Linked DNA regions of Struthio camelus. The main gene of each other region encodes a partner of the protein of the gene in region 3 in a complex. Links are inferred from orthologs where the notes say so. Each region holds a gene or a part of one and is shown on either strand. Other genes may lie near its edges.

What was found.
Region 1: the proteins of BMP2 (region 3) and BMPR1A are in contact, whole or in part, in a crystal structure (PDB 2QJ9), measured with the Homo sapiens proteins. The link is inferred for Struthio camelus from reciprocal best matches to the Homo sapiens genes BMP2 and BMPR1A. Residues at the interface, in NP_001191.1 of Homo sapiens: Lys297, Pro330, Phe331, Pro332, Leu333, Ala334, Asp335, His336, Ser339, Asn341, Ile344, Val345, Leu348, Asn350, Ser351, Val352, Asn353, Ser354; in NP_001393490.1 of Homo sapiens: His66, Cys67, Pro68, Asp69, Ile77, Thr78, Asn79, Phe83, Ile85, Cys100, Met101, Lys102, Glu104, Gly105, Phe108, Gln109, Asp112, Arg120, Ile122.
Region 2: the proteins of BMP2 (region 3) and HJV are in contact, whole or in part, in a crystal structure (PDB 4UI1), measured with the Homo sapiens proteins. The link is inferred for Struthio camelus from reciprocal best matches to the Homo sapiens genes BMP2 and HJV. Residues at the interface, in NP_001191.1 of Homo sapiens: Phe331, Pro332, Ala334, Asp335, Leu337, Asn341, Ile344, Val345, Leu348, Ser351, Val352; in NP_001366281.1 of Homo sapiens: Leu40, Asn43, Tyr46, Val47, Tyr86, Leu101, Ala102, Ser105, Ala106, His108, Gly109, Ile110, Asp112, Leu113.
Region 4: the proteins of BMP2 (region 3) and RGMA are in contact, whole or in part, in a crystal structure (PDB 4UHY), measured with the Homo sapiens proteins. The link is inferred for Struthio camelus from reciprocal best matches to the Homo sapiens genes BMP2 and RGMA. Residues at the interface, in NP_001191.1 of Homo sapiens: Val308, Gly309, Trp310, Asp312, Trp313, Met371, Tyr373, Leu374, Asp375, Glu376, Lys383, Tyr385, Met388; in NP_064596.2 of Homo sapiens: Arg91, Arg94, Gly95, Leu97, His100, Ser101, His104.

What each region holds. Positions count from the first base shown.
Region 1 is NC_090948.1:33,513,671-33,520,524, forward strand, and holds the start of BMPR1A (bone morphogenetic protein receptor type-1A), read right to left. Parts: upstream 3,013-6,854; 5' UTR 2,804-3,012; intron 2,205-2,803; exon of another isoform or gene 2,186-2,204; intron 1-2,185. UniProt on the Homo sapiens protein: On ligand binding, forms a receptor complex consisting of two type II and two type I transmembrane serine/threonine kinases.
Region 2 is NC_090971.1:3,033,274-3,040,599, reverse strand, and holds the start of HJV (hemojuvelin), read right to left. Parts: upstream 3,008-7,326; 5' UTR 2,702-3,007; intron 1,088-2,701; exon of another isoform or gene 1,012-1,087; 5' UTR 944-1,011; coding exon 850-943; intron 1-849. Other genes in the region: uncharacterized protein, read left to right, coding at 3,906-4,025, 7,184-7,326. UniProt on the Homo sapiens protein: Acts as a bone morphogenetic protein (BMP) coreceptor. Through enhancement of BMP signaling regulates hepcidin (HAMP) expression and regulates iron homeostasis.
Region 3 is NC_090944.1:130,843,585-130,851,583, forward strand, and holds the start of BMP2 (bone morphogenetic protein 2), read right to left. Parts: upstream 3,002-7,999; 5' UTR 2,240-3,001; intron 1,461-2,239; 5' UTR 1,454-1,460; coding exon 1,102-1,453; intron 1-1,101. UniProt on the Homo sapiens protein: Growth factor of the TGF-beta superfamily that plays essential roles in many developmental processes, including cardiogenesis, neurogenesis, and osteogenesis. Induces cartilage and bone formation.
Region 4 is NC_090953.1:7,625,342-7,632,711, reverse strand, and holds the start of RGMA (repulsive guidance molecule A), read right to left. Parts: upstream 3,009-7,370; 5' UTR 2,760-3,008; coding exon 2,746-2,759; intron 566-2,745; exon of another isoform or gene 313-565; coding exon of another isoform or gene 299-312; intron 1-298.

The DNA.
Region 1 (6,854 bases), on a different chromosome or scaffold from region 3:
CCCAGATAGCCAAGATAGAAAGGGCAGATCTTCAGCTGACCCTTTACACAAGCACAGAAGAAACATACACATTTTGAATGTGCTCCGCACCCCACACGCACTATCTTGTCTCATTTATCCATCTACACCTTTCAACACCCTGCCAAAGAAGTTGCTATGCTCAGCCATCATCTGCTACTGGAAACAGATATTGTCCTCATCAGAAAAGTTACCAGCCACAAAGACAAACAAGGCAGGCAGGCTCCCACCTCCCTTTTTGATTTGTTTTGTTTTCAAGGTCTTTGGAGAGGCAGGGTTTGTTTCTCTTAGAAAGTCTGGATATATCAAAAGTCATGCAAGCGCTAGTATCTCTTCTTTGACCCCTTCTATGAGGGCACCTATTGAATTCCTCTTATCTGCTGTAACATATTCGCGCTTCACAATGCCTTAGAAAGCTGCAGAAGTTCTTCATTATATTGAATGATTTAAGAGAGATTTCCTCGATTCAGAGTGGTTTAACATCACTGTTTTCACACTACTTTTTTTCTTCTAAAATATGAAGATAACTTACACTAATCCGTCGTTATAAAAATAGTGAATATTTAGCAAATCCTTCCCTATATTTTTATTAATCTTTATATAATTGCATAATCTATATCTTGCTTCTTGGAGAAGCATAAGAACATACTTCCTAACTTAAAAAAAAAACAAACAAAAAAACCCCACAACACTAAGCAATCCATCAAGTGCTAGCCTTTCAGCACTCCAGGAAGTAGACAAAGCTATCTATTACTTCTTCAAAATCCTTTTTGTTTTTATTGGCATAATACTCCAGTAAAGCTCATCTATGGCAAACACTTGTCCATTTTAAAAGAAATTATCAGACCTAGTTTATGGCACATCCAAAAAGGCACAATATTTAATACCAAATGTGGTCAACATTTTATTTTCTCAAACTTGGATACTGCTATTAAAATCCACATCTAAAAAATACTTAAATAAGGGAGTAGTTCAATAACTACAGGAAGTACCAGAAAGAATAAAGTTAATTATTTTAGTTATGCTACCTACATTTTAGACTCCTGATTCCTAAATGTTGGAAGCCAGAAAGCAGTAGGTACATTGCTTACACACTCTACCATATTGAGTATTTTTAATTCTCCTAACAAAGCACACAATTCTCACTGTAAGGATTTTGAAAAGCAGCGTCAAAAACATTAGGAGTTAGTTTCTCTACAATGACTTCAAGAAATCGTGGCAGCTCTAACTGCAAAATATTCCGTTAAGCACAACTTTTAATGAGTAAAATCCAAGTTACACGGAGTAGGGGCTGGATCACATAACATCGAGAGGTCCCGTCCAACCTAAATTACTTCATGTTTTTAGAAAGAAGGATGCAGCTCCAGCCACATATATTCCCTGTCAAGGGAACTGAGGAGCCCATAGGACATACTTAAGTCTGGCTGCTGAACCTTACCTCTACGCGAGAGGATCCTCAACAAAAAATCTTAGACTAAAACTCAAAGCCCACTGTGGCGTATGCATGTGCACCTATATGTAAATATATATGAAACACAGACATGCACTTACATAACAAAATTAAATCTACTGAATAATTTAAGAAAAGGTTACAAAAGGAACATAAGTACAGTAACAAGAGACAAATACACTGCCAACAATTTACAAATGCCACAACACGGAGATTTTTTTTTGCATGCAGACTGCAATGTCATCTGACTATAAATTACTCTCACGCAATGTTTTATCCAGTACTAGTTTCTACTACAAATCAGGCAACTTTCTTGAAACAGATGACTTTCCTCTTATCTGCAAAAGCAGTTTCTTCATCCCTACAGATAACAGACTCTGAGCAATTGCAACGAAGCTACCTGGATGAAGAATTCACTAAATATTTACCTGTCCACAGAGAATGAAAAGAGTCAGACAGGCAGTCAATCCACACTGGAAAGAATCACCCTACAACCTCAGCACAAAACGACAGGTGACTGCTCCACGGAAACACACTTTAATGCCATTCTTTGCCGCCGAATTCACTTTCTTTCACAAAACTAAAGGGCCGTAGGGAGCCATGCAAGTTTTTAACCGTCTTCCCTAGGTTTTGCAATCAGTTACAGGAAGACACCGAACACCGCAACTCAACAGCACAGCCTTCGGCTGTTCCGTAAGACCTCTACCGTCAACGTACCAAGTAAAACTTCTAAGGTAGGCCCAGCGACTAGCGCTCTTTGCGGGAAGAGTTTTGTTCCTTATTTCGTATAACCCGACAGCAACAGGCCGACCGAGGCGGCGCGTAACTTGGCTCCAAGCGCGCACGAACGGCGGACGACGCTTCTTACTGCGCGCGCCCCTGGCTGAGGCGAGCGGGGCCTCTCTTGCCGGCCGGGGCCGGGGCCGGGGCCGGCCCCCGCCCGCGCCCACCCCGCCGCGGGGGCAGCCGGCCGCCGAAACGCGGCCGAGGGGCGCCGTGCCCGGCGCCAGCGCAGCGCCTCGCCGCGCCACCCTCGGCCTCGGCCGCGGCCCAGCGCCGGCGCGGAGGGCGGCGGGGCCGGCGCAGCGCCCCCAGCGCCGCGGCGGGGCAGGGCGGCGGGTGGGGGGACCCGCGGCCTGCGCGGCGCCCGGCGGCCCGCACCGGCGGGCGCAGAGGGGCGGAAAGCCGCCGGGCAGCGGCGCGGGGCGGCGGGGGCAGCCAGCCCCGACGGCGCCCGCTCCCCTCCGCCGGGCCAGGGCAAGGCGTCCCGCGACGGCCCGACATGCCCGCCTCTCCGCGGCGGCAACGCAGGCGCGGCGCGGCCCCCGCACTCACCCGCGTCGGGGGCTCCTCATCCTCCTCGGCGGCGAGCGAAGGCGGAGGGGGAGGGGGCCCGCGCCCCGCTTCGCTCCGCTCCGCAGGCCGTTCCCGCGGCCTCGGCGGCTCCGGGCGGACGGGGAAGGCGGGGTGTGCGGGGGGAGGCGGGGGGTGGGAGGGCCGGCGGGCCGGGGCACGGCGCAGGCTCCGTCCCTCACGGCGCTCCCGGCGCGGCGCGGCGCGGCCCGTCCCTGCGGAGCGGGGTGGGGCGGGGCCCCGGCCGCATTCCAATCACTGCAGCCGCGGCCGCGCGCACCAACGGCCGCTGCCGGGCTGCCTCGCGCGCGGCGGCCGTTGGCGCGGGGCGGCGCCCCCTCTTCCCCCCCCACCTCGCGCGAGCGGCGGCCGTTGGCGCGGGGCGGCGCCCCCCTCCCCCCCGCGCGACCAGCGGCCGTTGGCGCGGCCTCCCCCCCCCCCCGCTCCCGCCCCCTGCAGCGGCTGCCGCCTCCGCCCTTCATCAAGGCGGGCGGTAGGCGGGAGGGCTGGCGGGGCCCCCCGGAAAGAAAGTGGGCCGGGAGGAACGAGCCGGGCCTGCTTTTCCTCCCGCGTGGTCCCTGCCCTCCCCGGGCGGCCGCGCAGGCCTTGGCCGCTGCCTCCCCCCGCCCAGCGCGGCGGCGGAGCCCCGGGCGAGGCGGAGAGGCGGGTGCCCGGCGTGGCTTTGCCAGGCGAGAGGGCGCAGGAGCTCCTCCAGGAGACGCTAGCCAGGTGCGAGGGCGAAGAGTGGCCAAGCAGGCGTCGTGGGGGCTGAGCTGCGCCGAGGTGGGGTGAGGGGGGCGCGGCAGAGGGCCGGAAAGCTGGGCCAGGGAGCTGGTGGGGCCGGTGCCCCGGAGGACGGATGGCTGGCAGGGCGCGCAGAGCAGGGGGTGTGGAGGAGTGTTTTAGCGGCCCTGCCTGACGTGGCGTAAGGGGACCACGGTGTGAGCGGGAGTGGGCAACGAGGAGGCAATTGCCGCCCCACTGTAGGGGAAGAATGAGGGCCCTGAAGGGGCCTTTTAGTTATGCGGAAAGATAGTTTAAGTTCTGGAAAGGCTGGCGTGCCAGGGCCAGGAGAGGGGTAGTGCCACCGCAATGGACGAAATTGTTGGTTTGCTTTTTCCCCTTCCTGTATCTCTAAAGATTAGCCCAGATAGTTAGGCTGGGATAGAGTATAACTTCTGCAGTGAGCTGCTTTGCTCATTGGTAAGTGTGCTAAAGGCCATGATTTGCATTGGCTTTCCAAGCTCCTCGTCATTAGGGCAAATTAGCAAAGTCGTAACTTGTCTGTCTGTCTTCAAGTGGTGTCTCCCAACAGCAGTGCAGAAGGGGCTTTGATGATGGTATGCCATATGACAAGGAGTCCCCACAGTTCCCACGTGGGCTGCTGTTTTCAATCATTTACTCAACAAAATTACAGCGGTTGTTTTGTTGACATGGTCTTGCCTTTAATACCATATCGATTGGACCCTCTGCATCAAGAACTTTGCACGTAAAGCCAACGGTAGGGGGCAAATAAGATCATACAGCTCATACAAACCTACTCACTTTCCTGTTGCAAGTAGACCAAAACACCCTTTAGGACACATCAGCAATTGCCATTGTGAAGAGGTCTGCCCAGATAAACCATTTCTAGAGAGTAACCATTGAGAAACAATCTCACTTATGAGTGGCAAATAGCCACATGTACATATCGTGTGGGAAACAACGGCTTGCTTACTGTGTTGTCCTCTCCACAGTCTAGCTCCGTTTTTGCATGCTAGTATCAGATAGGATTCATAAATGTCATGTACTCCACTTTAGAGTTACCACTTCAGGATGTAAAATGAGAGCACTGGCTCTGCAAGAACAGTTCATATGCATTAGACTCATGGATTGCTAGGCAAGCGCTTAGCCTGCATACTATCCCATATAGCAAAACAAAAGAGGAAGTATAATTTCAAACCTGTCAACTTTGCAGGCTCCTTTAAAATGCAACCAAGTAAAGGCACACCTCGTAAGGTGCAGGCGGCCAGATACTACAGTCTTAGGCATTTAAAAATACAGGTCTTGTCTTACTAAACTTCTAGAAAAAAATTTTCCGATGACCCTCATCCAGAAAAATTTGTCAGTGTCCAAAACAAAGACAGTCTGCAAGAAAGACAAAATCACAGCTTTCATGCCAAGCAATACAGAACTTGTATGCTTATGTTTATAATTTCAAAGGAAAATATGAGTCTGCTGTTCCTCCACTCTGTCTGCTATCAGATTATAGCAACAGAATAGACACTCAATATGGAAGAAGAATGCGACATGCATGTGAGCTCCCAACCAGAGCTAAAACTGCTAGAGCTAGCATCTCTTTAAATAATAATCTATGTGGTAATACAATCCCGTGCTTTTCAGATGTTGGGTATTGATTTAAATCCAGTATGCCTGAATTTAGCAAAAGCCACTAACCTTGAAATTTGTCTGATTCCTCGTGTGAAATGGATCGATTGTTTCATCCAGTTCTTGATGAGTAAATTAGTAAGTCACAGGAACTGCCTTCTCAACTAGTACTTTTTAAGGCACTCGTACTTAAGATGCCTCAAGCAATAGTCAGGCCGGAAATAATGTTGCTTAGGATGTGGTTTCAAATTCATACAGGTGTAAAGTATTTTTTGAAACATACGATTTACAACAAAAGTATAAGAGCAATGTGGGCAGAATAAAATTCCTTTTTTACGATCATACAGTGGTGTGTGTGTGAGAGGGGGACTGCTGAGCAGCCCAGCCATAACGTGTGATGCTGGACGTGATGGAAGTGTTTTTCTTTATATAGTGCCTGAAGAACCCAATTGTACACCCCCTAATGAATCGAACTGCGAAAATTTAACCTAAGATTTTTGTCAAGTAAAACATGAAGAATCAAACCTTATTTTGTTTTATTTTATGGGGTAGGTAGAGATATCTGTTTAAACCAGAAGATGAGCACTTCAGCTGATAGGTGGTCAGAAAGACACAAAGGGTCTCAGCAAGCTTGTTATCAGTAACAGACAATTCACTTGGTCAAGATTGGTCAAATCTGCAAAAACTTGGACGCGTCGGTTTTTGGTAACATGAGGTACTTATTTTGTAAGTAGAGAAGCACTCAAAGACACTGAAGTAAAGTCTGAAGATAAACATATGTTCATTCAACACTTGGACAGGAAGGGATGTGGAAGGCTAGCGAGAAATATAGGAGTGGTAGTTCAAGACTGACTGTCATGATGAAGAGAGCTGTATTAAAAAGAAATTAAATAAGTCATGAATTGGATAGTCTTCCAGCTGCTTTCTTTGTCATTTCCTCTCCAGGAATTTCTTATTAGGTCTTGGAATCACTTGGGACATGCAAGTCTTAAATATCAAAAGCTCTTTAAGAACAAAGAGGTATGTATAGGGAGAAGGTCATCCATGTGATAGGGCTTTCATCTTGGTATATCCTTCTTCCTTTCAGTCTCTGGAATTCATATGTCTAAAATCCACAGTACAGTGTATAAGCCAAATATATTTTTGAAAATATATTTGCAATTAGATGAGTGCTTTTCTGGTACTGTTACTAAAATAAATATTCCATGTTAAATATTAAAAGACTATTGCCCTTCAGCCAGGGACATAATTTTTTCACTTAACATGATGTGAATTTGGCTTAGTCTTTTTTTCAGAATTATTTTACTTGAAAGCACGTTCTTTTGATTATAAATCCATTCAGCTGTCTGTTACTTAGGAATGGCACAGATTTTATTAAATGTGTTAAATGTAAGCATAATGAATTCAATAAGCCAGTTTCAAATCTGTGAGGAAAGGTGTTTTTAAAAAACTTCTGCTGTTGAAGCACTGATAGTAAAAAGGCAAAAAAGCATTAATTCATTAGCATTGCAAGCCCTGGCCAGTCTTCAGTCCAACAAGTGCGATGTGGAACTGAGCATGGTACAGAACTGGAAAACAGCGTAGGAGACTCCAATGTGCAGAACAGGCAGGAGGAAACAGGAAACTGTTCCCACAGCTTAAATACTTGGTGCATTTTGGGGTTACT
Region 2 (7,326 bases), on a different chromosome or scaffold from region 3:
TCAAGCCTCGCCAGGCTGTGCAATCGCTCTTTCGTGATGGACTGCACTGCCTCAAGGTGACCCAACCCCTCAACTGGGATTTCTCAGGGCTGCAGAAGGCAGAGCCATGTGCCACAGCCCCAGGAGGGCTAACGAAGAGCCCGCTGAGCCCAGCCTAGTAGGGACCATTCAGCTTGTTAGGCAGAGGGGTTATAACGGACAGCTGCCCACTAGGGAGAAAAGATCTGCCCTTGGAGGAGGTACATGCTGGCTGGTGGGGTCCTCTGGGCTGGGGTGCTCTGGGTGAAGGAGTGGCTCAAAGCATGCTGTTGTCTGGATGCAGGGAAGTGAGTTTAAACTTTGGGATGTGCAGGTCTGAGCCCTCCTGATAGAGGCTCTGGGGTGCAAGGAGGAAAGCAAGGGTCTGAGGGATGGATGCGGCTGGTGCCTTTTGATGGAAACGGCTCTGGAAGAGCGTGGACTTTGGCTGGCGTCTGGTCAAGGGGGACAGTGGTGATGTGCTACTCTGGGCCCTACTGCCCCTGCCTTACCTCTGGAGATAGGCAAATCTGTTAGGGGCGCTCCCAGAGAAGCTGCTGGAGAGCAGGAGGATGCTCTCCTTGCTGGGGCAGATGATGGTGATGGGAAGTGCTGCCTGTGTTTCCCTCCAGGTGAGCCGGGGACAAGGGTGCTCTGATAGCGCCCGAGCCTCATGATTGCTATGAAATGCAATGTTCTGCTTTCTCCAGTCACCTCTTAGGAGAGCTCAGCCACGGTTTTACCCTCCCTGTACCCTCAGGCTGCAGTTCCCTCTGGCTGCCCTTGCCAAGGATGTGACCCTGGCATGACTCTGCTCATCTGGCTCCTTACCATGATGGCAGAAGAGGAGGAGGAAGAGTGCCCTCAGGAAGAAGCAGGGGGTTTCCGGCTGCCCTGGGCTCTTACTGCTGGCAGATGTCCCCATTCCAATCCATCCAGAGCTGAGGGAGCTGCTCACCCGCTGGCTTGTCTCTGCTTCATTTGGCAGGTCACCTGGAAGCAAGGAATAGATGGGCTCTGAGATGCACGAGCTAAAGCGAGCAGTGGCAAGAGGTGCCCGGAGCTGCAGGTATGGAGCTGCTGGGGTCCAGACAGCTGTAAAACACAGTCCTGCAGGGTCTGGCTGCATCGCTGCTGCTCCTGGGGGGAGGCAGGCTTTCAGGCAAAATCCCAAAGGGCTTGCTTGTTTGTTTTAAACTGCTTTCAGCCCCTGCAGTTCTCATCTTCTGCCCAGAGGCAGCTGCGTGATGTAGTTCGGTGTGTCAGGCAGTTAAAATGTCCAGCTACCCTCGAATGGGTTGGCTAGCCCCACAGGCTCGAAGAGACTTTGGGGCATGGAAGAGAGCAGCTGATGAGTGCAGCAAGGACCCAGGCAGTGTTGGGTACGGCATGGGCTACCTCTGGCACACTGCTATCTCCAGCCGTGATACTGGCTGGAGAGGGTCAGTTAAAAACAAAGATGTGCAGTACGTGGCATCCGAGGGGGTAGGAGCAGCGCTGGGAGAGGCGGCACTCCGGGCTCTGCCGAAAACCTGTACGCAACATGCGGCTGTTCCCAAAGCCGGAGAAGGCGCTTGCTGGCTCCCTGCGCACCGGGAGGCTCGAGCTGGCCGAAGGGGGACTGCCAGGAGCACATCCCCACTCGGTGCGCGCTTAATCATGTCAGACAGCTGGCCACGGCAGGAGGAGGTGCAGCCGTGGTTAAATTTATCTTCCCTTCTGCTTCATTGAGGCTGCGTATTGCTGTCCTCGGGGGCTGATTTTAACAGCTGGTTATTAGTCACTTGTTAGTCAGATAGCCTTTTGCAAAGGTCCTTCGGAAGCTGCTGTGTGTGAAATGAGTATTTCCCCCTCCAAGCTTGTGTGAGACGCCGGTTGCCAGAGGCCAATGCCCACAAGGATGTGCCTGGTACCTGGGGAGCCCAAGGTGTGTGATTACTGATGCTGTGGCTGCTATTAAGTGCAGGCTACAGCCAGGAGGGAAAAGAGGCTGAAGGCTCATCCTTCCCCAAAAATGCAAAACTGCAGTCCTACCAGCTCTGCCTAGCATCTCTCAGCTCCTTTTGCTGTGGCTGCAGCAGCCAAAAAATGCCATTAGTTGTGCGGGCTGCTGCGGTGACGTAGCTGAGCGCTGGCTGCCCCCGTGTGCCTCTGCCAGCGGGATTAATGGCTGAAGGGGGCAGATGTCTGGAGTGAAAACACGCTCCAGCTCTGCTGGCGATGCTCTGGCTGCCAGCTGCTCTCGGCTGCGAGGACTAGCTGAGCCGAGTGTGCTGGTGGAGAGGAGCTGGGGCATAGGGACATGAGCAGAGACCTCTCAGCACTACCCCAAAACCCCTGGAGGAGGTGGCATGGAGGGGACTTGTCCCTGGTGTGACGCTTAGAAATAAACACCTGGTTAATGTGTAGCAGAGAAGCGCAGCTCTGGCAGGGCTGGGAGATGGAGAGGCCCTGCCGGCAGCAGGACTGTCTTTGGGACGTCCCCATCCTTGCGGTGTTGGGAGGAGAGAGGCAGCGGCGAGCCGGAGGTGACTCTGGCTCCCAGGGTCGGCCAGGGAGGGCACAAGCGGTGCAGTCCCTCTGCCCAGCTCTCCTGGGACTACCTGCACCTGGGACCCTGGGGTGCCTCTGTGTGCTTCTGTCCTGCTCTCCCCTTTCCTCAGACCCTCATCCCTGCCCTTACCTGTGTTGGCCTCCTCTGGAGATGACCTGGCTCCTGGTGTTGAGGCTCCTTCCCTGGGGGGCACCTGGGCTGGCTTGTCCTTGTCACCTAGCTCTACCTGCTGTGAAGGCCAGGGAGATCCATGGGAGGGCAGCAGGGAAAACACCACCCTCAGTCCCAGGCACCTGCATGGCCTCGCAGACGGACAAAATCTCGGGTGCCGCTGGGGAGAGCCTTGCCGGGCCACAGGGTGCTGTGCAGCTCATGCAGCCCCTCCACGGGGCGGCTGGGTCCCTGCTCCTCCTCCTTAGCTACCTTTGCTCTGTCACCTTCCCCCCTGCGGGGCAGCGGATGGGTGTCGAAATAGAGCTGCCTAAATTTAGACAGGCTCAAATCCAGCCAAGAACAGCAGGCACATGGCACAGAGGGAGGCTGTGTGTGGCCAGGGGGCTGAGGAGCCCATGGAGGTGGTGGGAAGCTCCCCAGGCTGTGCAGCACGGGCTGGGTGAGCTGGCTGCCTCCAAGGTACCAGCTTTTCCTTCCCTTTTTGGCTCCTATAGCAGGTTGGCTGCAGCCCTGTGGACTGAGTCACTGTGACTGTGCTTTCCCAACAGGGTCTTTAATCATTTCCCTGATAGCTCTCCTTCCAGGGGGAAACTGAGGCACAGGCTGATTAGAGGGGACCTGGCAGAGCTGTGCTGGGTCCCAGGCCGGCCACAGTGCTTGGAGGAGCCCTGTTTTGCTCCATGGGGAGGACGGTGGGCAGCAAATGGCTTTCAGGTGCCCCACTGAGTCCTGAGTGCAAACATGGCATGGGCCAAAGGTGGCCCGCGTTGCTGGGGGTTGGTGAACGCCAGGCCATACAGGCTTTGCTGAAAGCTGCCTGCAAGGGCTCAGATGCAGCAAGCGGCCACGCAAACCCCTATTGCCATAGGGAGGAGAAAGGGAGGGTTGTAGCTCAGGTACTAGGCCAGGATCAAAGAAAATTGAATATCCAAGGAAGATGGTTTTGGTATCCTTCATTTGCTACCTATCAGGCTTCTCCTGGGGCGATTTGTCCATCTAGGATTCCTGGCCCTTGAGGCTGGAGCGAGGATTGAAAGCAGGTCCCTCAGCGCCCCCAGAGCTGACGAACCAATAAACCCCTCTGGAAACATTTCAGAAAAAATCTCCCTGCTTCCTAACCCAAACTCTTGCTGTTTTCCAGGCCTTAATCTTCACTGAGATGGGAAGCCTTACAGACCTGCAGTGCCCTCAATGCGTTTGCACCGCGAGCCTTTCACCAGCCTATGAGGACGGGGAAGAACATGGAGGGAGACCTAACAGCCGGATTTGTCTGAAACAGGTACCACAATGCCCCTCCTGGGGGAATTGTCCAATTTTCTGCTCTTCACCTCTAGACAAGTTTGGGCTCTTGTTTAATGATGGGGGGGGAAAGGGCTTTTCCCCCTCTGACTCTCTGCTGACCTACTCTGACTAGGTTGTAGCTGCTGCTAAACTGTTCTTCCTCCAGAGAACACGGGAAGGAAGGACGAATGGCTGCTGTTTCTTGTAGAATAAGCTTAAATCTACAACCACAGGCTCATGTTTAAGTCTGTTGGAGTCTTCCTTGGAGGCAAGGGTTAGAGGAGAGGAAAACAAAGAATAAAATGCAGGCTTGGGTTGAAATCCCAGCTGGGATTGGCATCAGCAGCCCCCAGTGGAGGAAGGGGTTTGGGACTCCCAGGTCTTTGCTGCTGGGACACATGGAAGCTTTGGAGGTCTTTTGCCTGCCCCGTGTTTATGCACTGGGTATCTGTTACCTGGTAACAAGGGCCTGAGATAACAAGACAGTGGAAAAAATCTTGTTTAAAAAAAAAATTATAATACCCAAATCCCAGTGTAGCCTGCCGAGGTCTGGCCTGGCCTGGTGTCCTCTCCATCTGTTTGCCACGTGTTTCCCCGCAGCGAGCCCCAGGCGCAGACGCAGACCGAGGGAATCGGTTACGTGCGGGCCAGGAGATGGGGGCAGGCAGGTGGGAATTCTTCTGGGAACAGCAGACGGTACCATCTGGGCTTGGAGAGAGCAGAGGCCTTTTGGCATCCCACCCGCCCGCTTTGTCCGGAGCCTCTGGGCAGGGCTGGGAAACTTTGACTGGAGGAATCTGATTGGGATACCCAGGTTGCTGCCGAGGCCAGGTCCCAGGATCTTCTCTTCTGCCTCATCGACCGACTGGGTGTTGTGAGTGCGTCTCCCCAGCACTGGAAATTGAGGACGTGCCATATTTTGTCCATGCCGTGAAACCGAGCCATCAATTGTTTTAATGCTGTCAATGTGCAGCAGCTCTCCAAGCTGGGGGCTGCAGGCATATGTTGGAATGAGGAGGCTGGGAATTTCTCCCGAGCTGGCAGAGAGTCATGGTGCCAAGACAAAAGCATCTGTGATCAAACCGCTGAGGGACACCAACTCCCCCCTTCCCACTGATGAAATCAGCTGGAGGTTTAGGAGGTGCAAAGCACTGTGTCCTGCCAGCTGGATCACCAAATCCTGCCACAGTGGGGACTGCGGAGCAGCTGGTGTCACCCAAAACCCGTGGACGAGGGTTTCCCAAGCCCTGTGCTGTGTCGGGAGGGGAGCCCGTAATTGCAGCCCTGGCCTGGGGCTTTGCTACTGCAGGGTGGATCAGAGTGGGCTGATGCTGCTTTTCACCCCCAAACCCTGTTGCAAATCACAGAGCAGGGATGGCAAAAATCCTGCTCTGGCAATGGACTGGCATGCCGCAGGCGCGGCGGGAGATGCACGGAGCCACTCGCCCGAGCGCCTCCCTGCCCAGCACGGCTCACTGGACTGCTTCAAGCAGAAGCTGCCTCGTGGCTGGGAACACTCGGATGAGCTACTGCTTCGGCACACGGCGGCCATGAAATCCCTGGAGAAGGGCAGACTTGGAATTTGTGAGCATCACTGAAGCGGAGTCTCATTTGACACAAGCCAGATGTGGCCGGAGCAGTGTCTGCCCTCCCAAGGCACAGGCAGTGCCATCACAGGTCAGTCCTGGTCCCTGTTTAGCCTGGTCACTAATGCAATGAGTTTGGCAAGGGACTGGTTTAAGCCAAGTGCTTGGGGGTGTTAGTCTGCTCGGGGGAAGCAGCCCCCACGTGGCTCTGAGCTGGTGCCAGTCGTGTCTGCAAACCCACTGCTACAAGTGACACCGGTTTGCACCCAGAACAGCCTGCATGGATGGGAGAAAAATGCATCTAAAGAGGCATCGGTCTCAAAGGAGCTCATCTGCCTCCATCGGAGCAGTGGATGTGAGCAGCCACAAATCTCGTGCTGCAAGCGTCGCTCTGCTGAGAAGGGGGCGAGTGCAACTCATAGAGTACATCTCTTGAACATGCCTGGGTTAATCCACCCTCGGAGAGAGCTCAGCCAGCCTTTCCCAGGCAAACAAGCCCAGATCAATCAAGCTCATGAGGTTGGATGCGAGGGGATGAGACAAGCAGTGAATGTCAACCCTGGACCATGGCACAACAGCCAGGAGCTGGTGCTGAGGCCTCAGGGGAGATCAAAGCCAAGCATTGGTACTAGTGTAAAAGGAGATGCAAGCGCCTGGGGAAGCCAGGATTTACTGGAGGGATTTGCCAGCTCCTTGGGAGAGAATCTCATTGCTCTCCAAGTGCAGACACAGCAATGGGAGGGACATTTGTCCACCTGAAGGATTCGCTCTTCTCCTTTGCACAGCGTTTGGCATAGTGCCCCCTTTTCCTCCCTCCCCAAAACACAGAGCCCAAATCCCCGCAGAGGAGCTCAGTGCTCCACTTACCCTGGCCAGCGCCGCTCCGGCCAGCGATGGGGTGGTCTGCCGAACGCCCCTCCGGGTGCAGGTCCCAGCCCAGTGGCGCGGATTTTCCTCCGGGTTCCTCCGCCAGGCAGAAGTGCTGGCAGCGAGGAGGGAATCACGCCTGTTAACGCCCCGGGCTCGATGCAGCGGGAGCAGCAAACAGCTGAACTTTACGACAGCCCGATCTGTCACTGCAAGCTGGAGGAGCGAGGGGCGAAGTCGATGCTTTAAAAATAGCCAGTAGTATTTTTGATCCTGAAAGCTGGATTCCAGTGGGGAGGGGAAGAGAAAAGGGAGGGAGAGCCGAAAGCTACCCTGTTGCATGCGTTCCTGTGCTTCAAACCTGTGCTCTGAGCAAAACCGCCTGTGAGATGGACTGGGTCCCAGCAGGACTACACGTAGCTGGAGATCTCGGGGATTTCTCCAGGCTCTGAGAGAAGCAACGAGGTTGGGAGGACAAAGCGCTGCTAGAAATGCAAGGCAGGCTCCTCTTCCAGCAGCACCTGCCTCCCGGAGCGTGGGAGAGCCTGGCCGAGGGGCCTTCCTGCTGCTGAGGCCTGGGCTGGGAGCCGAGGGCCTGTGCCTGGGAGAAATGGCTCTTCTCCCGGCTCTGCAAAGAGCTAGATGGGATAACCAGTGAAGATGCATGTCTTGAGTTAAGTTAGTCTTCCTTGGCTTTTGCCAGCCTGGATCTTTCCTTCTCCTTGGCTTGGGAAGCTCAGGAGATCCTGAAGGAGGGCAGATGCTGGGAGGACCAGAAATCTTGCTGCGCATCTGGAGAGGGAAGATCCCGAGAAGGTCGGGGAAGAACCTGGCAGCTGCGTCCTT
Region 3 (7,999 bases):
ACCGACTAAGTCAGTCACTGGAGCGGGGGCGAGAGGAAGAAAACAAAAACACGCCGCTATCCCAGAGAGCCTCCTTTTGAAGGTAATCTCCTTTGCGTGCGTTTAGTCAGTCACCGAAGCGGCAAGCGGGCGCATCAGGCAGCCGAAGGCACTCAGCGCCTCACCAAAGCGCGAGCCGGCGGTGGCGTTACAGGGCCAACATGGCGCCGCTGCCGCCTCCGAGGGCCCGGCGAGGACGGGATGGCCGTGCCCGGGGACCCCAGAGCACTCTGGTGGGCACGCACCTCGCGCGGCCTCTGCAGAGCCATCTGGCACCTTGCTGAAGGCTCGGCCAGGTTACCTGAGGTCTTGGGGTGCACCTGAAATCCGGCAGCCAGGCTTTTACCAGCCTGTTCGCCCGCCCGCCTCCTTCGTGGTGTGGCTCAGGTCTAGGCTGAGGTGCTCCTCAACCCAACGGGGGGGGCAAGAAAGCCGCTGAGGAAACGCCACAATCGACTGTTTCACTGATCTCTCACGGGGATTAGATAAGGATTAGAAACCTCCCAAACGACCCCAGCTCAGCTGTGAATTAGGGAGCTTTTTCCTGGTGTTTGGCCTTGTGAAAGAAAAGCTATCTGTGGGAAGGCTTAATTTGGAGCAGGTCTGTTTTCGCAGAATAAATAAATAAAATAAGGGCCCCTCATCGGCTGCGGGGGGGGGGGGGTGGGGGGTGGGGGAAGGGGGAGGAGGAAGGCGCTTTGCTGAATAAGCGCGTCAGGAACAGAAACTTCAGAGTCCTCTAAGCGGGGCTTTTAAAGCAAAACCGAGTACCCCCGTTCCTGTAAACTCGACAAAACGCATTTCATTAGCGGCCGAGCGCAGGCATGCCCTCCTGGGCAGGAGTCTGCCCCCGACGCTCCTCCTCCTCCTCCTCCTCCTCCTGCCCGGCCCCTTTTCCTCCCCCGTCCCGCGGCCGCTCGCCGCCCGGCACGGCCGCACGCGCGGGCCGCGCACGTTAACGGCCGCCATCGCCGCGCGCGCCCAACCGCCCCCCGCCGCCAACCGCCAACGGCCCCCGCCCGCGCCCAACCGCCGCCGCGGCCCCCCCCCCTGCCCACCTACCTTCGTGGTGGAAGCTGCGGACGGTGTTGGCGCGGCTGGCGGCCCTCTCGAGCGGGTAGCCGAGGGCGGGCGGCTGCCCCAGCTGCTGGCCCGCGTGCAGGCGGTAGAGGTCCAGCATGTAGGGGGGGATGACGACGTCCTTGCCGGGGCTGGGCCGCCGCTTGAGCCCGAACATGTGGAGCAGGCGCAGCTCGAACTCGCTGAGCAGGTCCTCGGGGCGCTGCGCCGCCGAGGCGGCCCGGCCCGGCTCGCTGAAGCGCCGCCGGCCCACCTCCGGCATGAGGCCGGCCGCGCCGCCCAGCAGCACCTGGCAGAGCAGCAGCGCCAGGAGGCAGCGGGTGGCGGCAACCATGATCAACCTGCGCGGAGGAGGAGGAGGAGGCGATGGGAGCCGGTGGCGCCGCGCGGGCACGGCCCGCAGGTGGCTCCCACCGCGGATCCCCCCGCTTTGCGGCCGCGGCGCGGACCCCGACCCCCCCTCCCCCCCGCCGCCGCCGCCGCCGGCCCCGTCAGGCGGCGCGGGGCAGGCAGGTTTCAGGTGCTCGGAGGGAGCGCGCGGCGGAGAAAGGCACGAAAATCCCCATGGCAGGAGATCAAAGGGAGCGAGGCGGGACGGGACGGGACGGGACGGGGCGGGGGGAGCGGGGCGATCCGCCACCAAAGCGGGCCGAGCTGAGGGCAGGAGGAGGCGGCCGCTGTCAGCGCGGCCGCCGCGGCACAGGTGTGCGCCCGGCTCGGCTCGGCCCGGCCCGGCCCGTCCGTCCCGTCCCGTCCGCTGCCGCCGCGCTCTGCCCGCGCCGCTCCCGGCCCGGCCCGGCCCGCCGCCCCTGCCCGCGCCGCTTCCCCGGCTCCGCGGCGGGGCAGAGGCTTCCCCGCGCGCAGAGAGAGGCAGAGGTGTTTTCTCTCGGCGGAGTGGAAGAAGGAGGGGGGGGGGGGAAGAGGGAAATCCTGCTACGTCCTTAGCCAAACCCACAGGATATTCTTCTCCCCCGTGAAACTCTGCGCTGGATTATTATTACTGTTATGACTAGTGTCCCGTCCCCCCTCTCTCTTCCAGAGCGCTAGCACCTCCGCCGTGGCCCACGGAGTCATCCTGCGGAGAAGGCTTGCAGCGGATCTGCGACCGCCGGGGTTATACCTGTGTGCAGCAGCGGGGGTTGTGTCTGCAGGAGGGTGTTCTGCTCTCGGGGTGTTTTTCCCGCATCACTTGGTGTTACTCCAAACTTCGCTGCTGCTCCTCTACAGCTGCCGAGCAGAAAATAGAAGTTCCCTGAAGTACGGTCCGCCTCAGAAACATACTTTTAGCAGCTGGCTTGGGAGGCAGAAGGCAAGTCCCAGCCAGGGAAGGGCTTCTCCCTTTTAAAAGCAGCGATCAGAAAGTTGTTGCTTCTTCTTCTTCCTCCTCCTCCTCCTCGCGTGTGTGTGCGTGTGCCTGCCCGTGAATGGGTGCCTATGTGTCTATGGAGTTAAAAGGCTCCTTTTAAAAAATGTCCTTTGCATCATCAGCATCAGACAGATGGACATTTACTGAGACTCCCGCAGCAACATTTAAGATGAAGCTTGACTTTTCTCCGCTGCCTTAAAAAGAAAGAAGAAAGGAGGAGGAAGGGGGGGAGGGAAAAGGAAAGGGAGGAAGGGAAGAAAAAAAAAAAAAAGGGTGGGGAGTAGTTTGTTCGCGGCTCGCGTGGAGCGGCGGCGGCGGCAGCGCTACGGGGACCGCTCTGTGTGCACACTCCGCGCGCCGTGCAGGCGTGCCCGGCTCCCGCCCCTGCACCGCACCATTGACGGAGGTGGCCGGGCGCCGCCGCCGGGGCTTTTTGTTGCGCGCCGATGTCACGACCCCGGAGGCTCGCGGGCCCGCGCCAATCACAGCCGCCCTGTGGGAGCGGGCTGCGGCCCCGCACGGCTTTTAAAGGAGACGCCGCCTCCCGCCCGCCCTCCCTCCCTCCTGCCCGCCCTCCTCTCCCCCCCCCAGCCCGCCCGGGGCTCGGCTCGGCTCGGCGCGGGGCGCCCGGCCCGGCCCGGCCCGTTAGGCTGCGGCGCGGGCTGGTCTCGCCTCGCCTGGCCGGCAGCGGCTCCGCGCCCTGCGACGCCGGTGCCGCCGCCCCGGGCCGCGCAGCCGAGCGCGCTCCCGGCAGGTGCCGCCGGGGCCCCGCGCCCACGGGCGGCCGCGCCGCCGCCGGCCCGACGTTTCCGCGCGGCGCGGCCGCCCGCGGAGCGCCGGAGCGCGGGGTCCGCGCCGCCCCGCCCCGCGCCGCCCCGCGCCGCGCGGAGGTGCGGCGGCTCCCGCGGCCTCGCCCTCCCTCGGGGCTGCCGGGGCCGTGCGCGGCCGCCGCCGCCGGCGCCGGGTGTTTGAGATGCGGCTGGTGCCCTCCAGTGGCGGAAACGCGCCGGAGCTGCGCCGGGCCGCGGCCGTCCCCGCCGGCCGCCGCCTCCCGCCCCCTCGGGCACCTGCGGCCGGGCCGGACCGCGGCACCCGGCCCCGGCCGCGGCGGGAGGGGCGCAGCCGCCGCCCGGCGGGGTCCGGCCCCGCGCGCAGCCGGCGGCGCCCGCGGCCGGCGCGGACAAGTCACTTCGCCGCCGGGCGCCGGAGCAAAGCGCGGGCGGCGGCGCGTCCCGCGGGGCTCCGCGGCGGGGCCGGGCCCTTCGCCTCCCCGCCCGGGCAGCGAGCGAGCGAGCGAGCGAGCGAGGGTCCTGGGAGCTGCGGCCGCCAGCGCACCGACCCCAGCCGGGGGACCCGGCGGCAGCGCCGCGCCTCCTGCTCGGATACCTCTCGGGGGCTTCATTTGCAAAAGACACAGACAGCCTTTGACACGTTGAATTACTGTGCGGAGGAGGATTTAAAGCAATAACAACTGAGCTCCATTACCAGCTCCTCCTTTGGGAGCGGCCTTTTCCCTCCATCTTAGGGCTTTTCAGCAGAGGAAAACTACCAGTCTGAGGCAACAATTCAGCACAGTTAGAGTGCAGCAATTCCTCATGTGCACCCTCTTATTTTGGCTTTCCTATCTCCTTAGATTGACTTAAGCTATACTGGCAAAACGTCACTCCTGGAAGGAAATGTTAACAAGGAGAGTTACATACCAGTGTAGCAAAACCACTTTAGAACTACACCAATATAATTAAAGAGCTGGTAAAGCTTCTTTCTCCATGCAGACAAGTCCCAGGACTTGTTAACCTCCGATTTTCGCTCGCTGCCGTGCCCAGGGCCACAGGCAGGAGATGTGACACAGACCAAAATGAAATCCTTCAAAAGTTTAGTAACTTTTCTGTTGCATTCCATTTCAGATAATGTTTAATTTTATGACTTCCTGCAACTCTTTAGCATGAACTTAAAGTGCATGCAGTGTGACTTCAGGGTATGCCAATTATGTAAATCAGCACTAAAATAACAATGGCAATGTAGTTTACACATCACTGACATTAAATGAGCACTTCAACTTCTAATTGCCATTCCAGTTCAATCTGTAGTGGGTCATGCCAGGAAAAAGTCATTTCTTGCCTCAACACTTACTCCCTGTGCCTGGAGCATAGGTTGTACTGTATGCCCAGCTTCGCTTTATCTCCAGGAGGTTTCTATATTAGGATGATGGACCTTATAAGGGAGAAGTATCTTTATGGTTGTTCCAAAGGCCTGGATATATTCTGATCTGATATCAAGAGGGTCTTGTAGGTTTGCCTCCTCTCCGCCTGTCAGTTCACACAGTCTTCCGTTCTCTTGGTCATAAAAAACTAATGCTTCACACAGGAAAACATGTTTCCTCTCCTAGTTTTTCATCTCTCTAGTCTATTCAGATTGAGAGCACCCGGGGTAGCGGCTCTGTCTTACCATTTGTTTGCACAAGGTCCCAAGTGAAGACAGGAAGGGCTCATAGCGTGTCCCCGCATGCACTGGCATCCCCTACCAGAACCTCAAAAACACGCATCCCAGCACCTTCCCCGCTCTGCTTGGCGCACATGCAGATTTCTCACCAGAATGCATACAATTTCTTTTCAACCAAAGCCTCCATCCACAAGCGCCCTAGTGAATAAGCTTCTGAAAGTGTCGTTCCCCTTTTCCCTCAAAAGACGTTTGTGTTAGAAGTGAACCCTTGAGCGAGCAGGGTGGCGCTGCAGAAGGCTTTTATGCAGAGATAGCCACAGCAGATCTGTCACGTGAAACAGGTCAGGCATGCAAGACTTTGTATATCTTGTCACTTTGCGTCCATAGGTCACATGCTGATCGGAGGTGAACCCGCAGGCAGGAAGCTATCGCGCTGCAAAGGCAGGAGGGTAGTCCCAAGAGTCCTTCAGCGTGATGCCCTGCTTCCAGTGTTCACAATAGCTTCTGTACACCCCTAAACTGAAGAGCTCATTCATAAAACTGGCTGTTTGCAGGTGCCTCCTTTTACAAGGAAAGTCTTTGGGTCAGTCGTCCTGGCCGTGAGCTCTGTGTAACTGCACTGCGTCTGCCATTAAGGCCCAGTTACGGTTTGTGTCTCATCAACATGACAATTGACTCATTATCCACCTGGAGAACCATCCCACTATCTCTGAACACTGCATTCAGACCTGCTACCGTAACTTCCGTAGCGTCAGCACTCCTGAGGTCATAATATGAGAAGCAGCAATGCTACAAACAGCCTTAGAGACGGGTGCATTTAGGTTTAAGAAATGAAACATTTGGTTTGTGAAGTGGAAACATGCCAGGAAGTGCCCACCCAGATTTCTAGTTCCCAGACTGAGCTTTCACGGCAGACATAACACCCTTCTGCCTTTCCCACCCTTATAGCTGTACGGCAATGAACCTGAGACAATGCTCCTGGAGACAAATGAGCTGTATTTCGTGATGCTGTAATTCCACATAGGCTCAGTGAAATCAAGGGAGTAAAGTGATACATCAGCTGAAGATCCACCCCCATCAGAGTGGAGTCCCACCGCGCCATTTAGTTTTACAGTTTTTCAGATCAAGCCTGAACTTCAATTACATTCCTGATAGAGAAACCACCAGTTATACTGAAAAGATCTGGTACAGACATTAGGTTTTAGGAAACCTGACCATGCATATTCGTTAATCTCCTTTGTGAAACTTCATTCATATCCCTACTTCTGAACCTTGTATCATTGATTGGACTGATTAATTTCTTTCTTCTTTCTTTCCCGCACTTGCTTTTTTATTCTTTTTTTTTTTTTTATAGCCATTGAGTATTCAGTTAGAGGCACCTGCTTCTAAGGTTTCACACCCAGGTGTTCCTTTGCAGGAGTCCAAATACAGCTGATGGATCTCAACTTTAGGTATTGCTGGGTTTTCTTAATACATGGTAGAAAAGTTTCCAAATGAGGATAAGTTTTACAACACAGTGAGAGCCCTTTTTTCACGACTAGAGGGAGAAAGAAGAAAACAATTTTCTACAGCATATTCCTCTTACAAATACTCTATCAAATCACTCTTATATGCTGCCACTATGTAGTCTCTTTTCTCCAGCTGGTTAAATTGTGACTGTCTTTATCGATGGCTACGGGCAGAAGACTTCAGCTGAAAGATCTACATGAGAAATGTTCACCAGTGTCTCTAACTAGTGACGAATGACATAATTTCTGGTATAGTTAGAGGTACAAGCCTCCAGAAACATTATCGTCACTTCATGCACATTGATAGTAAACAGTTTTACCATTGACTTCAACAGACTAGTGAGACCTATACTGAGCGTTTTTGAAAATTCCCACTTTAGACCTCTGTCCCCCGATATGTATTAAGGATTTGATGTATGATATACTTATAGGTGTGAGTTTTATATATATATATGTGGGTGTGGGTGGGTGTGCGTGTATGTATGTATGTATATATGTATGGATGTGTGTGCCTGTATGTAGGTATGTGTGTGTGTATTTGCATATTTTACTGAATAAAACTCTTTAAAAAATCTGTGCTAAAGTATGAAACATATAAATGATATGGCATCAAATGATATGGGGCAAATTCTGAAAATGAGTTAAGATGTGTTAGTGATGTTGAGGTTTTGGCTTCATAAAAAGTGGAGATTATCTTAAAGCTTTTCTGTTTCTAAACTGTGCTTCCTGTTGGCATCTGTGTGAATATGATGTGTAGTCTTTCTCTGAAATATCACTTAACACTCATTTGTAAAGACATATTTGTCTTCTGGTGGTTTGTCTTTTAACAACCATAAATTGTCTACGCTGTGCCGTCTGTCTCCCATTCCATTAAGGACGGAAGATAATTTATAAGAGAAGAGAACTTATAAGATGGGGGGTTGGTCTTGAAGAGGGGAAGGTAGTTTATTCAGAAATGTCTACTTCATTCTTCTTCACCTTTGCTGAAATCTGGCAGCTCTTCAAAGCTGTTGCTCTGTTTCACGGTGAGTCTCAATTTCATTCATCAAATCTCCACTTTGCTTCCATCATAGTAGCAGGGAAATTGGAATTTATCACGAAATACAGTGCAGGCCCAGTATTTTCTACATTTGCAGTGTGTCTACATTGCTAATGAAAGCTGATGGGTGCTGGTAACAATGTAACATCTGCAAATACAGGATACAGTAATCAGTTCACAAGGCTGTGTAACTTTAATACTGTAAGACAAATTCCTACAATCTGTAGTTCATAACATTGCTAGGGAAAGAGGAAAAGTGCAAGTTAACGTGATAACCTCTTTCTACCGCTTTCCCCTTGAAGCTACAAAGTTCCAAATTTCAAAAGCCAATATTTCAACAGTAATTGTTATCATTAAGAAGGGAGGAAATGTTCTTACGGCTCTGTAGAGCACGAGGAACAACAGAGTCATCACCCAACAGATATCTAGGCACCGCCATCATTTGTAAATACTCATCCATATGTAGTACGGGTAGTCATAGACTGGTAGACTAGTGAGATTTCAGTAGCTAGTGAATGACTAATATTC
Region 4 (7,370 bases), on a different chromosome or scaffold from region 3:
GCCTGGATAGGGAAGGTATCCGTCAGGGGGCTCATTAGTGCCCTACACGTAACTTTTGCAGTAACTTAATGGGGCAGGTGAAGGTGATGGCTTGGAGCTGGGCTTTGAAGGCAGACCAACTACTGCGTAGCAAAGTGCAGAGAAGCCAGTTCACTGTTTCAGGTAACGAACCTGCCCACAGCTGGCTCTGTGAACATTAGACTCACCGATGTGGCTACTTGAAGAGAGGCCATTGGGTCAAAGGTATAAGAAAATACAGCTTTGCAACAGCAATAAAAAAAAATAGTGTTTTTCTGACCTGCAACTTTCCATCCGCAGACAGTGATTGATTAAAAGCTTCCCTAAATAAAGCTGCTGTGGGTAACCCTGCTTTGGGCTGTCTCTTTACAGTGCCCGCTCCAAACAGCCAGCCATAAAAGTCACATCTAAATGCTCAAAACTGGTCAGGCTGAACAAGGGGCAGGAAAGATTGGACAGTGGAAAACCTCCACTCTCACTCGTGTCAGCAAGCAAAACAACAAAGTGGTATTTTCAGACAAACATTGAGTTCATCGTGTCAACTTTTTTGGCTGCTGGTATTTCATTACTTTCTCTCCCTTTCGCTTGCTCACAGCGCCTTGTGGAGTGAGACTCGGCTCTCAGGCAAAGGAGCCTGTAGCCGTCCCTTGTCCTGCAGGTCAGGAGGACTGGCTGGGACTCTTCTTCTGAGGATTTCGCTCTCTGCAAGGAGCTGGTCTTCTTGGCCCAGTATCCTCTTAGGAGTAAATACCAAGCATCATCTCTTTAGTCTCTGTTCTTCATGTCTGGGCTCCCATGTTAAAAAAACAAAAAAACATGTGGGCTGGGAGGTGCCCAAGAGCACGTTTGAATGGCCAAATGCCAGCTCAGCAGAAAGGACGGATAAATCTGAACTGCCAAAAATAAGTAGCGCAGAAAAATCACAGAGACCTGTATGTTTATCAGCAGAGACAGAAAGCAGTTTGTGTAGCAGGACAGCTACACATCTTTCTCTGCTGCTTTTAAAAATTGCTTGTGTTTTGAGAAAAATGCAAACATAGCTGCCTCTTTCTCCCCCTCTCCAACCAAACAGGTCAGCTAAGGACATCTCTGGTGTCTCTTCATTTAAAGGTAACAGGGCTCTATCTGAAAAATGGGGGGGGGGGGGGAACAGCAAGGGTTTGCAAATCTAGGTCTTGAGCACATTGAGGAAGGGGAGTTTGAAGAATCCTATGGAAAAAGCTCTCTGAATCCCTATCACCTTGCCCCCATCCCCTTGTGTCGATTCCTGACAGCAATGGCCAGAAATATAATCGATCACATGACGCCTTTCCTGTCCTCTCAGTTACAAAATGCTAAGGACCCTGATGACAGTGTCATCAGCCGATTTTAAACATTTGCCTGAATACCTCCTCGGAAAGAGACATTCCTTGTTATGGGAAAATGCCATAGCAAAAAATCTTGAATCCAGCACCTCTGTAGGCATTTCAGCAAATGACACCGGATTGCTGCGGTAGGTGTTTCTGAACAGGGAGCAGCTTTCAGACAGGCACATGTGCTTCCTCCCGGATTAAGTACAGCTCGGGGCTCTCATTCCCGCTGGGTGGTGCTGTTATCCCTAAACCATTTGCAAAAGTATCCAATTTATAAAATAAATGCAATCCAACGCCGCCTTAAACCACATGACATAACAGCAGCTTGCAAGCTCCCATTAAAATCTCAATTTGGGGAAATTGATTCTACCTCTGAGCAATTGCGATGCAATTACTCCAACAGGCAGCAATCAAGAATCACATCAAAACAACACCAAACTTTCATCTGCCTCACAGCCGCCACCACAACAAAAAGCACCTGTCTTGCAAACGCAACCCGGTTTCCTTAAACGTATATATATTTAGGTCCCTGAGTGGAAGCAAGTCTCGACGGGGGTTATGCTGGCTGCTGCCTCTGAAATGTCCTGACTCGGGGCTGTATTCTGCCACTTTGCACCTCTTCCTCCTTTTTTTCCTGGCTGAGGTTAAAGGGCTATCTAGGGAGCCGGTTCATCAGGAGGAAGGGAGCAAAGTCGAGCCCCCCGCGAGCGACGCCCCGAGCCGCGCAGCTCCCCGCGCTCCCGGCGCGCCTCCGCGGCCGCCCCGGCCCGGCTCCCGCGGCCGCGCAGCTGTCAAACCTCGGGCCGGCAGAGCCCTCCGAGGCTGAGACCACAGGATCTAGGGGACAGCTGGGCATCCCCGCAGCCGAGCCCCGCCGCTCTGCGGGAGAGCGCCCAGCCCCGTTAGGAGCTATCCAACGGGAAGGGCAAAATGCTGGGAATACGGGGTGAGGGGGTGGGGGGGAGTATTTTCAGTTCAGCTGAGTGGCCTCGCAATGAATTACCCCATGGATTTAAGCCCGGGAAGGTGCATATTAGTGGCAACCATCAACGGGAGGATGAATGAAGACACGCGTGCACGCCGGGCTAGCGCTAAAGCGGCCGGGGAGAGATGGGGCAGAGCAGCCGGGAAGAGCCGCGGGGTCTCGTCGAAACGCCTCGGAAGGGAGGAGGCTGATGGCAACGGGCAGCAGCAGCAGCAGCCTCAACAGGTCCCGCGGCGGCGCGGCCGGCAGCGGCGCTGGCAGCCGGCCCCGGGCCCGGGCCCGGCCGCGCGGGCAGCCGCGGAGGCACCCGCGGCCGCGGAGGCGCGCACGGCTCGGCCGCGCAGCAGCCCCGCGCAGCAGCCCCGCGCAGCAGCCCCGCGCCCCGCTTACCTTAGCGGCCGCATCAGCCTCGCCAGCCCGCCGCGGGGGAGGGGGGGTAGTGCAGGGAGAGGCGGCTGCTTTTCCAGGAGGGGAAAAAAAAAAAAGGAAAAAAGAGAGAAAAAAGAGGATGGTTGGGCGGGGGGCGGGGGGGGGGGGAAGAGCCCAAGCCCGGCTCGCAGGCGGCCCCCCCTGCCCTGCGCAGGGCAGCGCCGGCGGGGTGCAGCGCGGCCTCGCTCAGCGGGACGCGGGGAGCCGCATCGCCCGCCCGGAGCATGTGAGAGGCAGGCGGAGGCGATAGCGGCAGATAGGGAGGTCCCCTCCCTCCCTCCCTGCATCCCTCCCTCCGCCCGGCGGGGACGCGGGGAGCCGGCGGCGGCGAGGGAGGGCAGCGCAGCCCCGGCCGGGGGGACCCGCCGGGGAGCGGAGCGGAGGGATGCGTCACCCGCGGCCGTGGGGCACGGGGGGCTGGGGGGCTTGGGGGCTGCCCCCACCTCCACGGGCACGTCGGGGCACCTCGGTGGGGACAGAGCAGCCGGGCTGAGCATGGGCGAGGGGAGAGGAGCCGCTGCTGGGCGGTGGGGGCCAGGGTCCTCCTCCAGCTGCCCTGAGCCCCCGGTGTGAGCTTAGACTGAGCACCCGGCTCCCATCGAGGCCTGCAGGGGTTTCAGCATGTGTGGGTGCTGGGGTGCCTGCATTTGTGCTGCTGCGGTGGGAAGGCTGTGGTTGCAAGGCCACGCGAGCTGGAGTGTCACACGCACAATTAATTACTGCAGCCCCAGAGCCACAAACGCACTAAATACGCCTTAGTGCACCCATAGTAGTAGCCCTTTGCGAAGTGTTTCGTTCTCCTCGTTCTCTTTCTTTGCAATTCAAGGGGCAACAATTGTACGGAGCACACAGCAGCTCTCCGTGGCTTGATTAAGCCAGCAGCAAAGACAAAACGCACCTCTACAGCTCAAGTTTAAGGCTTAAGGAGGGTTCTCTGTGTGTGTTAGGTACAAATTAGAAAATAGATGTGATTAATCATAACAAATCTAAACAGCTCTGCTACAGAAAACTTGACGTCAAAGAGGTCTTTTTCTTAAACATGGATGCTATGCTTATATAGTACTGACAAAGGAACAATGTATTTGTGGATGAATTGGGAAAAAAGAACAGAGAAAAGACAGGGAGAAGTTTGATGTATACCAGATAAGTTATCTGGTATATAAAAAATGGCATCTTTCTGTAATAATTATTTGCAAATCAGTTTACAGTTCTGGATACTATAGTGTCTAGATACGACAGTATGGACAGAGCTGCCTCTGTCAGGCCTAGGACACTGTGCAGACAGGAAATCAAATGCAAACCCTGCCTTAAAGAAGGTAAACTTGCTAGTTAGAGGAGACCCAAGTGAATGTAAGAGACAAAGAGAAAGGAGTAGACGTGGTCGTGAGCACAGACCTTTTCGCAGGTGTGCACAGCAGGTTGGGCTCCAGTCCCACGCTGTGAAATACTGGGTGCTGGAGTGTTGCTAATCTGAGCACTTGGGGCCTGTGTTACCACGGTGGGGCGGAGGGGAGGGGAATCGCCACTACAAATACATATTCTCTGGTTATTCTGTGGAACTGTTCCCCCAAGGAGACAAAGCACAAGGCAGAAGAAAAGCTAATGCACGGGGCACTAAACATGCCTTGGTAACAACGGCAGCAGAGCATCATGGCAGCAGCAAACTGCTGCTGAGTTCACTCCCCATTGGGAAAAGTGAGCGCTGGAGCAGCAAGTTCCCACAGCGAGGCACAGCCTCTGCCAAGGGAACGCTCAGAAGTCTCCGCTGGCCACTTCCCCCAGCCCTTATCTGCACGCCGTTAATCTTCAGCATCGCACGAGGAGTTGGCACCTTCAGTTCCAAGTGCAAGGTGCATGTCTTTGACCTTGCCTTCTCTGCCATAAACAGCCAGCAAGGTGTAAAGTAGGTGTAGAGGCACACCTCTGAGGGCTCCTTTCTGTTTGCGCTTGCCCCCCACCCCCCCCCCCACCCCGGGTGCGAACAAAACACAACTACCATTTGATTACATTAGATGCAGCAGATGGAGGTGGAGCTGTGGAAGAGAAGGACTCGATAGAGAATGGACTCCTGGCCTTTTGCATTGGCTTTGAGGGCAATGGTGCAAATTTGCCCCTGCAGTGTAAAGTACAGCGAGGGGAAAAGTAAAGACAGAATATTTTGCTCTGTCTTTTCTTTGCTAATCCTGGGAATTCCCAATTTAGTGCCTGTGACCAGTTTCACCTGCTTTTATAAAAGATGAATTTGGCCCTCTCCTCGCACAAGGATCTGCTTGGCCACAAAACAAACAAAGCAAATAACGTCGGTACACTTTGTCCTTCCAGAAAAGATTAAGCCTACATGAATGAGTAGGCAGTTAAAGGAGGAGCTTGGCTGTGGGAGAAGATGGGTGGTAGTGTAAGATTGTCATGAGCAGACAGCTGGCTGTCCTGAGGAGCAGAAGGTGTGTGGGTGACCTGGGCAACTTGTAGGCTGTGCAGCGCAGCATGGATCACTCCACACCTTGTGGAAGTTAATGGAAGTCATCTTTTGGGGTTTGTGGACATTACTGGTTCAAGCTGCACAGGCCATGGAGAGCACAGAGCATAAGGGCTTTTCATTTGCCACTTCCATCCACACATCTGAGTCTCCTAAGCCTATTATTTTGAAGGCATGTGCCATGCTGCAGCTCTTCTCCTTGACCTCTGAAGGATGTGGCTGATCCTGAACTCAAGATAAAAGAATGCCACCTCATGAGCCGTGAACACCCGTCCGTGAGATTAGGCTCTGAATTATTAATACAATCAATGACTACCTCTTTTCATCCTAGAACAGGCGCAAAGGAAAGCTACAGGGGCGCTCAAAGGGAGGGACGATTCTCCAGCAAGCAGGGAGGAGTAACTTGTGGAAACCAATTTCCTTTCAGTGGAAACATCTCCCATGTCTGTTTTATTCTGGAGGTAGGAATGACAGCACCATTTGGAGCAAGGACCAGGAAAGAGGAGGTGAAAACCAAGCTGCGCTGCTGTGGCTGACAGCGGTGCTGCAGAACCCCCGTGGGGGTCCATGTGCCTGGCAGCCATCCTTCCCTCCATCCCCTTCATTGCATCGGGTGCATCAGGAACTACACCAGAAAGTGGTCCCCAACAGCCTAAACTGCGGATCTGGAGCATGTGTCAGGGAGATGTGACCATCATGAAGAGGAAGGGCTTGGGAGGGCGGGCAGCAGAGATGTGTTTTTCCTCACAGAAAGCCCAAGTGCCACGAAGCTACTTACAGCTATGCCCTGTTAGCCACGTGAGGAAGTGAGAGCTGATCTCCAAGGCAGGTTGTGGCTGTCTTTTGTGGGGTGAACTTTTCTGTACTAGGTTTCTTTACTGAGGGGACATCCTGGTTCTTTTCAGGTTGGAGCCTTTCTCCTTTCCCTTTGTGGATGCCGCTGTGCAGAGGTGCGGTCAACATAGGCTATTGTGTCTCTGTTCTGACTTTTACCCATTTCCTTGGCTTGGGCAAGTCCGCTGTATTTGAGACTTTCAGTCAAATTGGTTCCCTTCTGTTCCTTTCTCTATTTTATTTGGGAGGCAGGCACAACAGCCTCATCCTATACAAGGACCAGGAAAAAGAAAGAACTCCACAATTCAGAGCCTCATATAGGAAACGCAGCTAGCTGGAAACAAAAAATAAAACAGCATCTTCATTCTACTTTTCAGATTAAAAAAAAAAAAAAAAGAAAGAAAAGGTGCTGAGCTAGTAGAGCTATTCTTTCCAGGTAGATAAAGCAAAGCATTGCTTCAGAGCTGGTCAAAATGTCTGGAAAACATTTTCATTAAAGTTCAGATCAACATTACAAGTAAGATAAGAAAAGAAGTATGCAGTTACAATTATGTAGTGCTTTGTGATTACAGACAGATTCTGTAATCCTTATCCAGGGGCTTTTACAGTTCAGTTTAACTTATTTCAGTATGTAAAGTTGAGCCCAGACAACACTGCTCTCCTACAGTCCTCACCTGCGCTCTGGTCATACGAGGGACCGTGGCAGACCAAACCGCATGTCCAAGCAACATCTCCCAGACACATCAGCTGCCCTGGCTGAGGACCAAGCCTCCCTTTCTCCTTTGCAGCTGCTTATTAAGATTCTTCTGTCTATAACTTCTAAACTTACATTTGCTTTAAGCAGCAAAAAAGTGTTACTGGTTCACCTGGAGCCTGAGTAGCAAATGCACAGCATGACAACTGAGAAACACCAGAAGTGGCAAGAGTATTCTTGCAGGTGTTGCTAGAGAAAATATTCAGGTGCAACACAGAACTATAGCAAGGAATAATAATTCTGCCATTCAAAGTGTTCACTCACGCTGAGAGCAGTGGCAATGCCATGGAAAAGGCTCTGGGAATGAGCTGATCAGTGCCAAGAAGAGTGCTCGGCTCCATAGCGGAACAGCGAGCATTTCCAGGCTCTGAACTGGTCAGGGTGTCCTCTCCTGAGTGGGGCAGTGGTCCATGGGCAAAGCAGGAGTCTGAGCAGATGGAAATATTCTTCCCCCCTAACCAGTGCTTCTAAACTATCTGACTTCAAGTATTTGCTGTAAGCCCCAGAGCAGTCCCTTGGGTT